Regions from separate parts of the Mus musculus genome. Here region 2 is reported to be linked to region 1. The links are microRNA targets in miRTarBase. Many come from high-throughput screens and were not tested one by one. Region 1 holds a microRNA gene; the other region holds the end of a gene's coding sequence.
Evidence for each region. Region 1 holds the annotated microRNA mmu-miR-495-3p (AAACAAACAUGGUGCACUUCUU, at 3,309-3,330, shown strand). A microRNA usually pairs through its seed, bases 2 to 8, with sites in the 3' UTR of a target mRNA and lowers its output. Matches are read on the target gene's strand: a 7mer-m8 pairs with bases 2 to 8, a 7mer-A1 pairs with bases 2 to 7 and ends in A, and an 8mer does both.

Region 2: the mRNA of Ephb2 is a reported target of mmu-miR-495-3p. Seed matches in the 3' UTR shown: 7mer-m8 at 1,292-1,298 and 7mer-m8 at 1,361-1,367.

The regions. Positions count from the first base shown.
Region 1 is chr12:109,715,487-109,722,607 of GRCm38, forward strand. It overlaps Mir495 (microRNA 495), which reads left to right and starts at 3,268; the gene lies at 3,268-3,330. Mir679 (microRNA 679) reads left to right here and starts at 91; the gene lies at 91-164. It overlaps Mir1193 (microRNA 1193), which reads left to right and starts at 185; the gene lies at 185-305. Mir666 (microRNA 666) reads left to right here and starts at 1,599; the gene lies at 1,599-1,697. It also overlaps Mir543 and Mir667.
Region 2 is chr4:136,648,687-136,655,787 of GRCm38, reverse strand. Ephb2 (Eph receptor B2) reads left to right here. Exons shown (of 16, transcript NM_010142.4): 16 at 358-7,101. The coding sequence ends at 466. Among named protein-coding and RNA genes, the nearest start is that of Lactbl1, 30 kb to the right of the region's middle.

The DNA.
Region 1 (7,121 bases):
GGACATGGGAGTATGGCATCAGGACTCAGCCCTGGAAGGAAAGTCATTTGAAGAAGGGACAGGGTCCCCGTGGTGGCCTGAGGCTACTCCCTATGGCTTTGGACTGTGAGGTGACTCTTGGTGTGTGATGGCTTTTCAGCAAGGTCCTCCTCACAGTAGCTATAAGGACGTGCCAGCATCGTGACTGAAGGGACAATGATGCCCACTGTTCTCGGGGTAGCTGTGTGGATGGTAGACCGGTGACGTACACTTCATTTATGCTGTAGGTCACCCGTTTTACTATCCACCAACACCCAGACCATCTGTGGGAAGACACCTTGGTGCACACGGCAGCTATGAAGAAGATGTTGGTGGGGTTGAGGCCAGCGTGAAACTAAAATATTTCAAGCAGAGTTAGCTTTTAAGGGGGATCCTTTTTCTGCTTGTGTGTGTACATATATGTGTTCAAGAGAGAGAGTGTGTGTGTGTGTGTGTGTGTGTGTGTTGGGGGGGGGCTACCATGGGCGTGACTTTCATTTTATGATCCTGTATCTTTGCAGTAAACAACGCCATCCTGGAGGATCCCCTGAATGTGAAGCTATATCCCAAGCTGGGGCACATTTCTCCTGGTGGGTGAGTGACAGGTCTCTCTAGCCCAGCATCAAGCCCACATCTGTCACTTATGGCATAGGCTTCGTTGTTCTTGCTCATCTCCATGTCTGTTCAATTTTGCTTGTCTTCTGAGGATTCAAATCATTGGCTGCTTCCCAGCACAAGTACCTGACTAGGAGATGTATTTCAGATATGACATCTCCTTAGGGAAGGACACCAGAGTCCTCATCAATGGAAAAGGTATGTCATGGTGTTCTGTCTGAAAGAATATATTATATTTTCATGTGTGTCCTTCTTTACTAATGCTGAGTATGCCTTCCATACCTAGGACGACCTCCTGATGTATTGCTACCCTGGGGGTGAAGGTGGCTTCCTTGCCCCTCCTCCAGGCTCCTGGCAAGTGGTTCTTGCAGCCATGGCAGAGACATAGAAAGTAAGTAGGAACTCTCCGACTGAGATTAGGAACTACTGTGATTCTGCTCATGTTTCATTGGTCAAGCCAATGAAGGGTGGGGAGGTGCCCTGTAGCCATGTCATGAGGGAGAGAACATGTGTACAAGCATAGGCAACCAACTATCTACCTGGAACACCTAAGAAGTCTATCTTTATTCATGTTCTTTTTTTTTTTTAATCTCAATGTTCCATTTCCCAGCAAGTGGAGGGTCAACAGAATCTGTTCTCAGAACACCACATGCCACTTACATATATTTTTGTCCAGGAGACATTGTCTCGTTCTGACAAAGGCTCAGATATCTTTTTGTTTCCCATTTCATGATAACCTCCTTGCATCAGGGCCTCCACCGTGGAACATAGGTTGATGTCCTCCCCTCTAGCAGATGGGTGGTGACCTCGACTGAGAGGTCACGGGACCCACCTCCTCTCTTGTCACGGATCCAGAGCTGGACTTTGGGAAGCAAAGTCAGGATTATTATATCATTCTCTGATGTTTGAGGAGACTCCAAAGACCTCCCCAAAGGATGACCAATCCAAAGCCTGTCTACAAGATCCTGATTCTGCCTGCGTGGAGCGGGCACAGCTGTGAGAGCCCCCTAGGTACAGCGGGGCTGCAGCGTGATCGCCTGCTCACGCACAGGAAGTGACGACAGCGGTACTCAAGCCACAGGAAGTGACGACAGCGGTACACAAGTGGTACACAGGGTTCCATGCTGCTGACGTACGGTGCTTAATGAGAAGTTGCCCGCGTGTTTTTCGCTTTATATGTGACGAAACATTCGCGGTGCACTTCTTTTTCAGCATCCTATTCTACGTTGAAGACTTCGGGGGTTCAACTACTTACTGACTTCAGGGAAGCCATGTTAGTCTAGGAAAGTAGTCTATGTAGTGAGCCTGGGTTGTGTGAGTTTATCTCCCTTCTTGAATGGTCCTCTGACCTTTCTTAATGAGAATGGGTTTGGGTTGGTTGGCTCCTGCTCCCTCCTCCCTCCTCCACAACACAGTGTCAAAGGAACCAGTTGACCAGACATTATTGATTCCTAGATGAGACCTTAGCCCACAGGGAGATGTTTGCTGAGACTTCTGGGAGGGGAATGAGTCTTCATTTCTGTGAGAGATGTCTGAGTGGATCTCACTGTTCCCTGAGTTTGAAGGCCAGCTAGAATTCAAGAGGACAGTACCCAGGGCTGTTTAGACAGAGGGGGAAGTGCCTGTCCCAGAGGAACCATGGGACATTTGAGTAACAGTACAATCTGGGACCTGCATCCGACACTCCTTGAAGCTCAACACGTCACTGTACCTTTAAGTTATATTAGCCTGGATGCCTCCTTTGTGTGTAAGTCAGCTTGAGGTGGGCCTTTCCTTACTATGAGAGGAATGGATGGCTCCTTGTTGAGTGGCCTGTCAATGAGTGTAACTGGCATTCTTTGGATGGTATGTTCTCTTGCTCATTATTCCCATTGTCCAGTCTAAGGTAGGTAGTTGGTACCAAGTCACTTTCCTTTGTGGTTCAGATATATTGCTGTAGTGTTGTAACCTTCCAGTAACGGTAACACACACTAATCAATGCGTTTTGTTTTCAGGGAAGGGTCGGTCATATGTCCCGTTCAGGACAGCCGCAAGATGATGAACGGACATTGCATCCCCAGACATCTCACACGCTCAGAATCCTGGAGCCTCCCATTTCAACCTGTTCTTCTGCTTCCCAGTACCCTGTGAGCTCTTTGTTGTATTTGTCTACATCGTAAGTCACTTCTGGGTGCGGGAGAGGGGGGACCTCAGAGGGCATCATCCAGGCACTCACACAGCTGGTTTAGGCTGCCCTGGATTTTGCCACCTAGTTCTTTGACTTTTTTTTTTTTTCTCAGCTTCAGAAGAGGATCCTGGAACTGAGAGAGGAGATTCTGTCTTGGAGTTTGGCACCATCCCATTTCCCCCGAGTGACACTTCAGAATGACTGGCAAGGATGGTAGGCAACATCTCAGAATCTTCAGTCTTCGTCCCAGGTCTTCCTGAGATCCTGAGGTAGAGGGGGTTTGGGCTGGATTGCTATGGCAGTGATGAGTACTGAGCCACTCCCCTTGCCTCAGGACCCCCATCCCTGTCCCCCTCCCGGCCAAGTATCTGCCTCACCCACCATCCCTTCCTTCCGCCTGTCCCTCAGCATCCCTTCACACTCAGGCACACTGCTGGAACAAGCAAGAGCTCAGCCGTGGTACCTGAAAAGAAGTTGCCCATGTTATTTTTCGCTTTTATTTGTGACGAAACAAACATGGTGCACTTCTTTTTCGATATCAAATCTCACCTTGGAGAGCTCCCCATGGACCAGAGGGAGGACGGGAGGCCAGGGGGTTTGGGTCACCATGTGCACAGGGGCATTTACCTCAAAGAAGCACAATTTCACCTGCCCCTCTTGGCTCTGTGCATTGTTAGGTCCAGAATGCCCACCTCCTGGGACAGGCACAGTCAGTAAGGGAAACCAGGAAGCGCACTTTTAGGCTCTGTTGTAGGATGGAGTTCAGATAAGAGAAGCCCAGAAAATTATAAAATCCAAACAATAGCAATTTAATCAAACAGCCAATACAAGCCAAACCACCAATTCCTTCTGGAGACATGTGTCTAGATGTCAGCTGCAGGTGTCTTTACCAAGATATGTCAGTTGGTGAGTGTCACATAACACTATGACTCTAGAAAAGCCTGGGCCCCAGATCAGCTCTTTACCAGCATCCTGCCATGTCTACGGGCTGTGCTCTTTGATGCCATTAGCAAGGCCTTGAGGACTGGTGGGTGCTGGCTACGATTGGGACCAGGGAACAGCAAGCTGTCATCAGCCACTGCTGCCTGTCTCTTATCTCTGATACTGGTACCCCTGCCCTCTGGAGTGGTAGATGTAAGGCGGCACTTCAGACCCCTTTTCCCTAGTGAACTTCTCTTTATGGCTAACATTCTCTGGTAGCCTCCTCATGGCATCAAAATTGCCTTTGAGTGTGGTTGTTTGAGCAGGGCCCTTTGGTGGCTCTCTTGTGAGAGTGGGAGGGAGGATACAATCCAGAGAGTATGAGAACACCTCATCCATCCATCTCCCCTGGAGGGTTTCCGAAGCTGAGCCAGTACAAGATATGGGATCACTCTTAGGCAACCCTTTGCTAGGATACTAGCTATTTCTTTCTTTGCTCAAGTTGGAATAAAAGCTTTGTTTATACTTACGTGGCTCAACAACCATAGCGCATCAAAACCCAGTGCAAACTCCATCTAAGAGGTACCAGGATTAGCCACACACTTAGCTCTTAGTTTCTACTGGCTCAGTGATGCCCTTGGGCTGTGGCTGTACCTGTGTTTTGGCTTCTGCCTATAAAAGATGGAAACACCTTTGGAAAAGCAGCAACTCTCCCTTTATACCCATGGAGAAAGGCTAAGGGGCATGGAACAAGCATGGTCAACCCATTTTCTTAGGTTGAAAATCCCTTTCCATCTAGTGGGTACTGGCCTCGGTGCTGGTGGAGCAGTGAGCACGCCATACATTATATCTGTGACACCTGCCACCCAGCCCAAGGCCCCTAGGCCCACAAACTTCTGGAGGGGAGTTTGTCTTGGATTCATCCAAGGAATGCAAAGGACACCTGGACAGAAATGCCTCTGGTGGTCATCCCAAGGTAACCGGACTTGTTCAGTTCCATTTCACATTTAGCTTTGTGCTTTATTGGCAGGCTTCTAAGGGCTGCTATTCACCCCTACATCCCAGGTACGTATAGGCCCAGAGGGAGCCTTCCATCTTTGAGGGTAGAATATTCTCTGGGCACAATACCTCACCAGCTGTCTTTTTCACAGGAGAAGCCTGGGCAGGATTGCCGCAGCTGTTCCAAGAGGCCCCAAGGGACAGTGTCCACATCATGGTGTTTGTTCGTGGAAGATATTAAACGCTGACCTCTTTTTGAGCACAAAATCCCTCCTTGAAGGGCTCTCTGTACCCGGTGTCAGGTTCAGGAACACGATGTGGGCATCAGCCCCTTGCTGATGGTATGTGAGCAGATGTCTGGCCAGATGGCAAGTGCTTTTGTTTATTTATTTTCTTATTTTGAGACTTGAGAGTTTATTGAATGAATCATCCTATAATCCAATTTCCCAAGGCAAATCTGTACATAAAAATCTAGTTTCTATCACATCGCTTCCTTCTTAATTGATTGACAGATTTGAGCAAAAACATGTCTAGCCTGCATTTCAGATTTTGAGAATTTTAAAGAATATACTCTGCCCTTCCCAGGTTCGCCTGGATCTAACCAAACGGACAAGCTCAAATATCAAATGAAAAATGATGAGAGCAAGATGAAGGTGGGAATCTCTATGAATATGTGGCACCCATATTGATTTTTTTGTATAACTCATTTAATATAACAATTTTCGATAACATTTTTTTTGTAGCAAGTTTTCATTGTAACCCAGGATACCTTTGAATTTCTTAGGTAGCTGAGGCTGACTTTGAACTCCTGCTTGCCTCTGCCTTCCAAACGCTGGCATCAAAGGTATGTTACCATAACCAGCTCAAAACTGTTGCTCTTGCAGAGGACCATAGTTCAGTTCCCAGCACCTAGACTGGATGGCTACAAGTTTAGCTTTAGGGATGTATTCTTCTTGCCTCCTTGGGTGTGCCCACATGCATACACATGCACGCATGGATAGTGAGACTACAGAAGGCAACAGACCTTGATCTCCTACCTCTACACATAGGCAAAGCAAGCATACTGGCACCACCACACGCGCGCGCACACACACACACACACACACACACACACACACACACACACACACATGAACCTAAACGTAGCTGGACATTGTTCCTAAAGAGCAGACCCAGTTCACACACAGCTACATTTGCCGTTGCTGCTCCTAGGGTCAGGACAGATGAACACATTTGCTCCCGTAACCAGCTATCAGATCCCCTAACGAATTCTGTCCTGCTTCTTTCTAGGGTCTCCTGGCCTCATAGGGCACTATGAAAGGAAGCAGGTGTAGCCCACTGGTAAGTGACCTATCCATGCACTTGAAGGTGTTTGTGAGGTTTTCTGCTTTAACAAGCTGTAGATACAAGGAGGGGCCTTGGCTCTTTGGGGCGAGGCCTCAGCATCCTTGGGTCCTCTTGTCTTTGGTTACCCAGCTTTATGAAACTCTCTGGCCAGTTCCTACTTTATTAAAACATGACCCATGACAGCACCACTATTTGGACATATATGGGAGGGCTGGTCACAGAGCATATGTTCTATGTGTGGGGACTATCACCTGGCCTACTTGTCTTCGGCCTCAAGGCTAAGATGACGAAGATGTTGGAGTTAATTAGCTGAGTTGGGGTTTTCAGTCCTTCTTTGCTTTTTTTTTTTTTTTTTTTTTTAACCAAAGATTTATAGTGTCGGTACTGGTATGCCTCTGTGTCTGATGTACTCAAAAAAGATTGGACAGGAACTTGAGCTAATCTTGTAAGGACCTGGTAGTGTGGTGATAGTAAGTCATGAATGTCCTGCTTAGCCATGTCTCAAGGTGTCTTTTATACCTATCCCCAACAGTGTCACACTAATGCATTGAGCCTGTGTGTTGGAGCCTTCTGGACTTAGCCCATTTCCTAGAAAACTTCCTTGATGTCTCCAGTGCTCCGTGGCACCTACGTGGATGCCCCAGCAGCCACCTTGATGACATCTCTCCCAAGGGTACCCAGGATGGGCTGTATGGGTGTGGAACTGGTTTTGGAAATCACAAGGGAACAGATTTCTTGTCATAAACTCTCTAAGAGGGGGTGGGGGTTTACAGTAACTCCCTACTAGGCTGTGTGACAACCAGGGCTATGTTTAACTGTACGGTGGGCTCTAGATACACTTCTGTCGCTCACTTTCTGATATTCAAAAGGTGAGTGCTCCTCTATGCCTCTGGTTAATCATAGAGGTAACACCCACATTTTCAGTATCTCAAGTGGTTCTGGGATGTTTCTGAATACAAAGTGCCCCCTAGGACAAAGCAGGTTATTCCAGTCTTCCCCCACCCAGAGAACAAAGGGAGAGATGGGTTCCACAGCCTGTGCTTTCCACAGCCAG
Region 2 (7,101 bases), not on the chromosome of region 1:
TATTCAGATCTGTAGCCGGATCTGCCTGGTGCCTCCGGGGCAAATCCCAGAGTCTGGGAAGATTTTTCATCTATAAACCAGGGCTTAGTGAAGGAGATTCAAGGAAATGGTTACATGGCCAATGGTTACATGGCCAATATAACCCCTCCCCGCTTCCTGGTGGCAGGAGAAACATGGCCTCCTGCCTCCCCATTGACTGTTGGGACCCCCGAATCTCTACTCTCTCTTTGACACCCAATGCCCATCCCCACACCCCTTCCCCATCCCTCACTAAGGGCCTGGGGAAGTTTAGGCTGCTGGCCCATGACCCCCCCCCCAACACATACATTTTCCTAGTTATGTCTATCTCTCCCAAAGGGACATTCTCCGCGTTGGGGTCACTCTAGCTGGCCACCAGAAAAAAATCCTGAACAGTATCCAGGTGATGCGGGCCCAGATGAACCAGATCCAGTCTGTAGAGGTTTGACATTCGCCTGCCTCGGTTCTCCTCTTCCTCCACGCCGCCCCCTGAGCCCCCCTACATCGGTCCCCCTGCTGCTCTGTCCACTACAAGGTCAGCCACCTGCCAGGAGGCCACAGACAACAGGAAGAACCAAGCAGCACTCCAGCCAAGCCGTCACCAAGAGCCCATGCAAGTCAAAGGAAGGAAAAGGGGATTGGGTGGGGGGGACACGCACCTAGATCTGGGAGGGGGCGGGACAGGCAAGAGACGTTCGTTCCAAGAGGATTCTCATAAGGGAAGTGACGGTTCTTAGAGGAGAAAAGCAAAAGGCTTGGGAGATCCACATGGCCTGTCCCCGTGAAGGCCAAAAAGCATTTTCTCTCCAACTCCTTCTGGGAAGGTTGAGCTGGCCAGAGCCAAGAAACACTTCCAGGAACATTAACATGAAGGGAAGAGGTGAGCCACCCTCCTTGCCTGGCCTTAGCCGTTTCTTGGAGCATCACTAATGGCCCAGCCCCCAGGCACAAGGGGCAGAGAGACAGGCAGTCGCCCCAGATAGGCTCCGGGGAAGTCCATTCCAGCTGCCACCGGCAGACAGGAGGATAGTTGTTCTGTCTTGGGAGACGGTTTCCAAAAACTCCGAGAGACTTTCTGCTAATGGTTCAGGAGGCGGAAGAGGAGCTCCTGGCCTCCCAGGTCACGCCAAACAGGCTAGATCTTCCTGAGGACAGCCACCCAGGTCTGCAGCCCCACAAGGCCCTGCTCCTGATCAGCCTCAGCCAGAGGACGAGGAGGCAGGTGACTGTCATCAGCCTCGACTGCCACAGAGAAGCATACTCTTGCATCTGGGTTTGTTTACAGCGATTCCGTGGACCGGGGGTATTTTGATCAGGGGTGGTTTTGGTCTGGGAGGGTTTTGTTTGTTGGGTTTTTTTAAAAAAAAATGACAATGAAGAGACACTTTGACATTTCCTACCTTTTGAGGACTTGATCCTTCTCCAGGAAGAAGGTGCTTTCTGCTTACTGACTTAGGCAATACACCAAGGGCGAGATTTTATATGCACATTTCTGGATTTTTTTATATGCTTTTCATTGATACCCTTCCCTCCTCCCACCTGCTGCCAGGCCTCACCAAAGCCAACTGTCACAGGGCCACCTGGGCCACTCAGAGACCTCAGTGGGACTGGGAGAGTGGAGGGAACTACATCAGCGCCCACACTGGACCACAGACGGAGGCAGATGAGGGCTCCAAGGCCGGAAGTCCTCCCTTCCTCCCTGTCTGCTCTCATGCTCTCCGCCCTGTTCTATCTGGCACTTCCCAGGCACAGAGGCCCCTTCAGGTTCCTGGGTGCTCTTCAATGGCCAAAACTCGATTTCATGTCTGGGAGCCTGGACCAGGCTACCCGGGAAGTCAGGACCCTGATCATTCACTGTGACACCCCAGCCCTCCAAGGGTACCCCGGGAGACCACGTGACTCTCTCTCTCTCTCTGTCTCTCTCTCTCTCTGTCTCTCTCTCTCTCTCTCTCTCTCTGTCTCTCTCTCTCTCTGTCTCTCTCTGTCTCTCTCCCACTCCTTCTTTCCCCGAGGCCTTTGCCTGGGTCTGAAGGTCTTGGCCAGAGGAACACCATCATCAGTCAAGGGGTCTGGCCGCAGGCTCCCCTGTGAGCAAATGCAGGGAATCCGAGCAGAACAATCGGTTAGTGAATTGAATGGAAATAAATGCTTTAGTTATAAAATGACCCCTGTACTCTGTAAGTTCCAAGAAAAAGATCCTGGCACCTTTGGGACCTGCCAAATGACTTTAATGCTCTTGCAAGGGACTCTTCCCCCTGCCCCTCAGGATCCAAAAGGCCCAGGCTGAGGAAACTCATGGAGGCAATCAAACAAACAAACAAAGAAGCTCATGTAGCCTTCTTAGCCTAGGGTCATCAGAAGCACAGGCAGAGAAGCGTAGGCACTGGGTTGGCTCAGCTCTGCGTTGCGTGTACAGTGCCTGGCTAAGTAAGCCACGTTAGAAGTGGTGGCCCGTGGACCCCATTCAGCCACAAATGTAACCCCCTCCCCCACACAATGCTGTCTCCTGTGCTAAGGGCTCGGACTTACTGTGAGTAGTTCTTTTGTGTGGAGGAGGAGAAGGAGGAAGAGAAGGAAGAGGAGGAGAAGGAGGCAGGAAGTGTGTGTGCTGCAGATAAGACTGTTAGAAGAGGAAGGGGTATCCCAGAGACAGCTCATCTCAGGACCATTTCCTTTGTCTGGTGAGCATCTTTGAGGAGCCTATCCATGGGGGAAGATTGAGGCCACAGGCCACCAGCAAAAGACCCTGCAGTGAGCAAAACCATCGTGGCTCAGCCTGTCATCTGTCCTTCACCTATTCTCAACCCGGGAGCAGAGGGAAGGAAGGGATTAGAGAGGAAGCTTGTCCCTGGGGTAGGGACAGCGGGCCTGGACACAGGGCAAGTATTGGCAAGTTTCCCACAAAGCAGCAAACAGCGGCCCGTTGGCCATCCCTTAATGGCCCAAAGACACCCAGCGCGGATGGCAGCTGTCCCAGCACACAAGGTCACCTTCTGGTGGGAGCTTCTCTGATGCTCTGCAGATTAACTGTCTCCCCAGCCCACCTCCCACCACCCCAGAGCCCCACGAGGCCTGGCAGTCAGTGTTTCCGTCAGATGGCTTCCTGCCTTAAGCCACTAGGCTGGCGTCTTCTAGCCAGCTCATCTGCCCATCCACCCTCTAGTGCCCAAAGTATTCGTGTAAAGCCGTAGGACTCTACATGTCTACTTCCAGAATACGGGTGCTATCCAGACCTTCTGTCTCCTCTTCAGGGTACCAAACAGACACCGTCACTGTGGCAGTCCTGAGTGTAGGCCCTGCTCACTTCTCAACTACAAGACATCGTCCTCCCCCCACTCCTCAATGCTCAGCAGGGAGTGGTAGGCCCTGCTGCCAAGCGCCTTCCACTTAGGCTGCCCGCTCACATGGGCACACAGCTTGGAGCTATCTGCTGCCTAGTTACTAATCCCTTCCTGGCTCCACCCCCCATCCATCTCCCCACTCCCAGCCCCCCCAAGCACTAGCTCCCACCTGCCCAGCATCAGGAACCGCTTCCGGCTGTTCAGCCCAAGCTTGTTTCTTGAGGAAAGAAAGCTGTTTTGTGAACCTGGGCCAGGGCACCATGGAAGTGGGGCCAGCTGCTCTGGGAGAGTGTGCCTGGAAGAGCCACTCGGGGCCAAGTTAAGTATGACGGAGCTGTGCCACCCACCCCAGAAGTCTCACAATGGGCTGTTAGTGGCAATCAACAGGCCTGTTCCTGAGCCGGTATTGAAGGTGTCTTGCTGGTAGGTTGGTAGCACGCTTGCCTGGCATGCACAAAGCACTCGGTTCCACCCCCCAGCACTGCATAAACCGGATATGGTAATATATGACTGTAAACTCGGTACTCAAGAAATGGAGGCAGGAGGGTTAGAAGATCAGTGGCATCCTTAGCTACTTAGTGAGTTCAAAGCCAGCCTGGGCCACATAAGACCTTATCTCTAGGAAAGAAGTTATGGTCAATAGTGACATCCTTAGTGCTAGACCCACTGCTTCTGAGCAGACACAAGAGTAGCAGAGAACACTTATACAATCTACTTACCAGCTGGGCCTCAAGTCCACCCTTTCCAGTATCCAGAGCGCCCACCTTCTCTATGGCTGAGAGGTCTATGCTGCCCCCTTGTGGGCACTCACTAACATTGCACCCCCTCATAGATCCCACCCCTTGCTGAAGGACTCCCACCGGAGACCACCACCCACCCCAATGCCACCCTTGCTTCTCCAGGTGCCTGTCATTTCCAGGGACAGTTCCCAGAGGAAGACCTTTGGCAGGGAGAGGTGCAAATGCACTCAAAAGACAAGATGTAACCTACTTCTGTCACTAACTAGGGCCACGGGCCCCAGGAGAGACTGTTCCTCACTGGGCCATAGCTTCTCATCTATAAAACAGGAGCATTAGGCTGGGTGCTGCAGGCCTGGAAAACCCTTTGTCCACCTCGGTCCCGCAAAGTAAAACACTGGTTCAGGGCCACGGCTCCAGAAAGGGCCACAAGCCTTGGCTTCCCCGCACCAGGGTCCACCCGAACATGGTCACTTAGGCGCAGAAAACAAAGGAATCCAGCTCTGGCGTATGAGGCAAGAGAAAACCAGATGGGATGGGCTATCAGGGTGGGCTTTCAGGGGGAGGCTACAGGCTGAGAGAAAGGTCACTCCAAAACGTAGCAGCTTCAACAGTGCAGCGCAAAAACATCTGGAGGTGTTGTGGGGCATGAGTTGGTGTGAGTGTAGGGCATGGAATTAAGGTCCAGCCACAGAGGCTACCAAGCAGAGATTAGTAGGACTACCATTAGATTATAGAGCAGTGGTTCTCAACCTTCCCAATGCTGCAACCCTTTAACACAATTCCTCACGGTGTGGTGACCCCCAACCATTTGTTGTGGTTTGATTTGGCTTTTTGAGACAGGGTTTCTCTGTGTAGCCCTGGCTGTTCTGGAACTCACTCTGTAGACCAGGCTGGCCTTGAACTCACAGAGATCCACCTCCCTCTGCCTTCTAGGTGCTGGGGTTAAAGGGGTGCGCCACTACCACCTAGCTCATAAAAATGTTTTCATTGCTACTTTATAACTGTAACTTGGCTATTGTTATGAATCATGATGTAAATATCTGTGTTTTCCAGTGGACTTAGACAACCCCTGAGAATGGAGTCATTCAACTCCCAAAGTGGTCACGACCCACAGGTTGAGAACCAGTGTTCTAGAAAAAAAAAAGAGTCAGTTTCAGCCATCAAATCAAAAGAGGAGCTTCCAGCAAGCCCCTGGAAGAGCCCTCGGGACTCCAAGAGAGCCCAGACTCTGCCATTTACTTTCCAACACGGACAAACCCGACTCCACTTCCGCAGCCTGGGAGAGAGGAGCTTGGCTTTGTGTTCCCTGATTCATCTCTTTTTATTTTGAAAGAGTCTCATATATCCCAGTCTGACCCCAAACTCACTGTGCAGTCAGGGATGACCACTATTGAACGTCCGATCCTCCTCGCTCTACCTCCCAAGGGCTGGGATTACAGGCGCACACCACCACGTCTGGTTTTGCAGTGCTAGGGTCGGGAAGCCGGGGTCTTTGTGCTTGGGAAGCAAGCGCTCTACCAACTGAGCTACACCCTCAGCCCATCTGCTTCTGGTTGTAGCTATGATGTCCACACATGGGCATACACCACCAGCCAGCCAGCCTTGCCTCAGATTCCCAGCCAGTGACTGTTACCACAAAACTGGCTGGAGAGCGAGCTTGGCCCCAGTCAGCTTTTCCCACAGAGAAACCAGTGTTGGGGTGTTGGCCTCAAGAAAGGACTTGGGCCAAAGTGGGTTCAGAGAGTCCCCGACCCCCACCCAGCAAGCTGGCCTCAGGCGATTGAAGCCTCAAGGACTAATATCTGAACAGATTACCCTATGCCAAGTGCCAAAATCTCCCTGCCCCCTCTTCGCTAGTGAGGAACATGGCTCTCAAGGGGGGTGGGGGGAACCCAGCCAATCCTAACACCTACAGCCTGCTGACTGAACGTGTGTTTGCAAGTGCTTGTAATCACCCATAGGATAAGCACCTTACCCACTACTGCATGTCGAATTGAGGATTCCAGGGCTCCACCATGCCTCCCTGAGTCAGAATTCCCCATCTGAACAGTGGGAGATTCCTGCCCGCCCCGGAGGGCCCCCTGCTCCGCCTCCTCCCGCCTCCCACCCACAACCCTGTAACAATCTGCACCGAGTGTACTGAGCAGCGCTTAGGGTGGAGCCTCATATCAGATAAGATGCCCAAAGCCCAGACACAAACTAAGACCCTGACAGTGGAGAAGGCAGGACGAACCCTCAGGAATGTGCCCAGACTGGGTTAGGGTTTCAGAAAAATCAAAAAGACCCCCGAAGCCCCAGAGTCCAGCTGAGTTAAGTTCACAGCAGGACGACTGCTTCGGGAAAGCTGATCCGGGAAGAATCAGGAACCTAATACTTCACAGGGGCCCTGCGTCCCAGCCGGGACCACCCTGTGGAGACCCCAACGCCCCAACACCACAGCGCAGACATGCTCGCTCAATACCTGGCCTGGTGGGCCAAACTAGGGCTGGGTGGACCTTCTAGGTAAACCTGACCCTCAAGTCTCCTGAGCCTACCCACTACCCAAACTGAGGTGACAGCAGATGAGCAAAGGCACCTGGGGCTCCCTGTTCCTCGAGGGCCTGGCTCCCCCTGCTGGAAAAAGGGGGTATGGCATAGGGAAGGGAAGGCAAGCAACAAGGAAAGGCCAGAAACCATCTAAGAGCTAGCACATATACTCTGGGCCCTGCTGAGCCAAGAATTGTAGCATTCCAAGGGCTAAAAGACCCCAAGATTTTATGACTCACCAAACGCAATCTCCTAAGAGGCCAGTGGAAAGAATTTGTGTTTGTGAGAGTCCATCACTAGGCAAATCTGTGCTAATTCTTGACATCATAAGCCCCATGGTTCGACGCTACCCAAACTCAGGGGCCCTAGCAGGGAGAAAAAAAGAAAGAAAGAAAAGGGGGAAAAAAGCACAAAGAGAGAGGGGGAGAGAAAGAGAAGAGGGGGAGACAGTAATGCAAGCTGGGGAATCTGGTTAC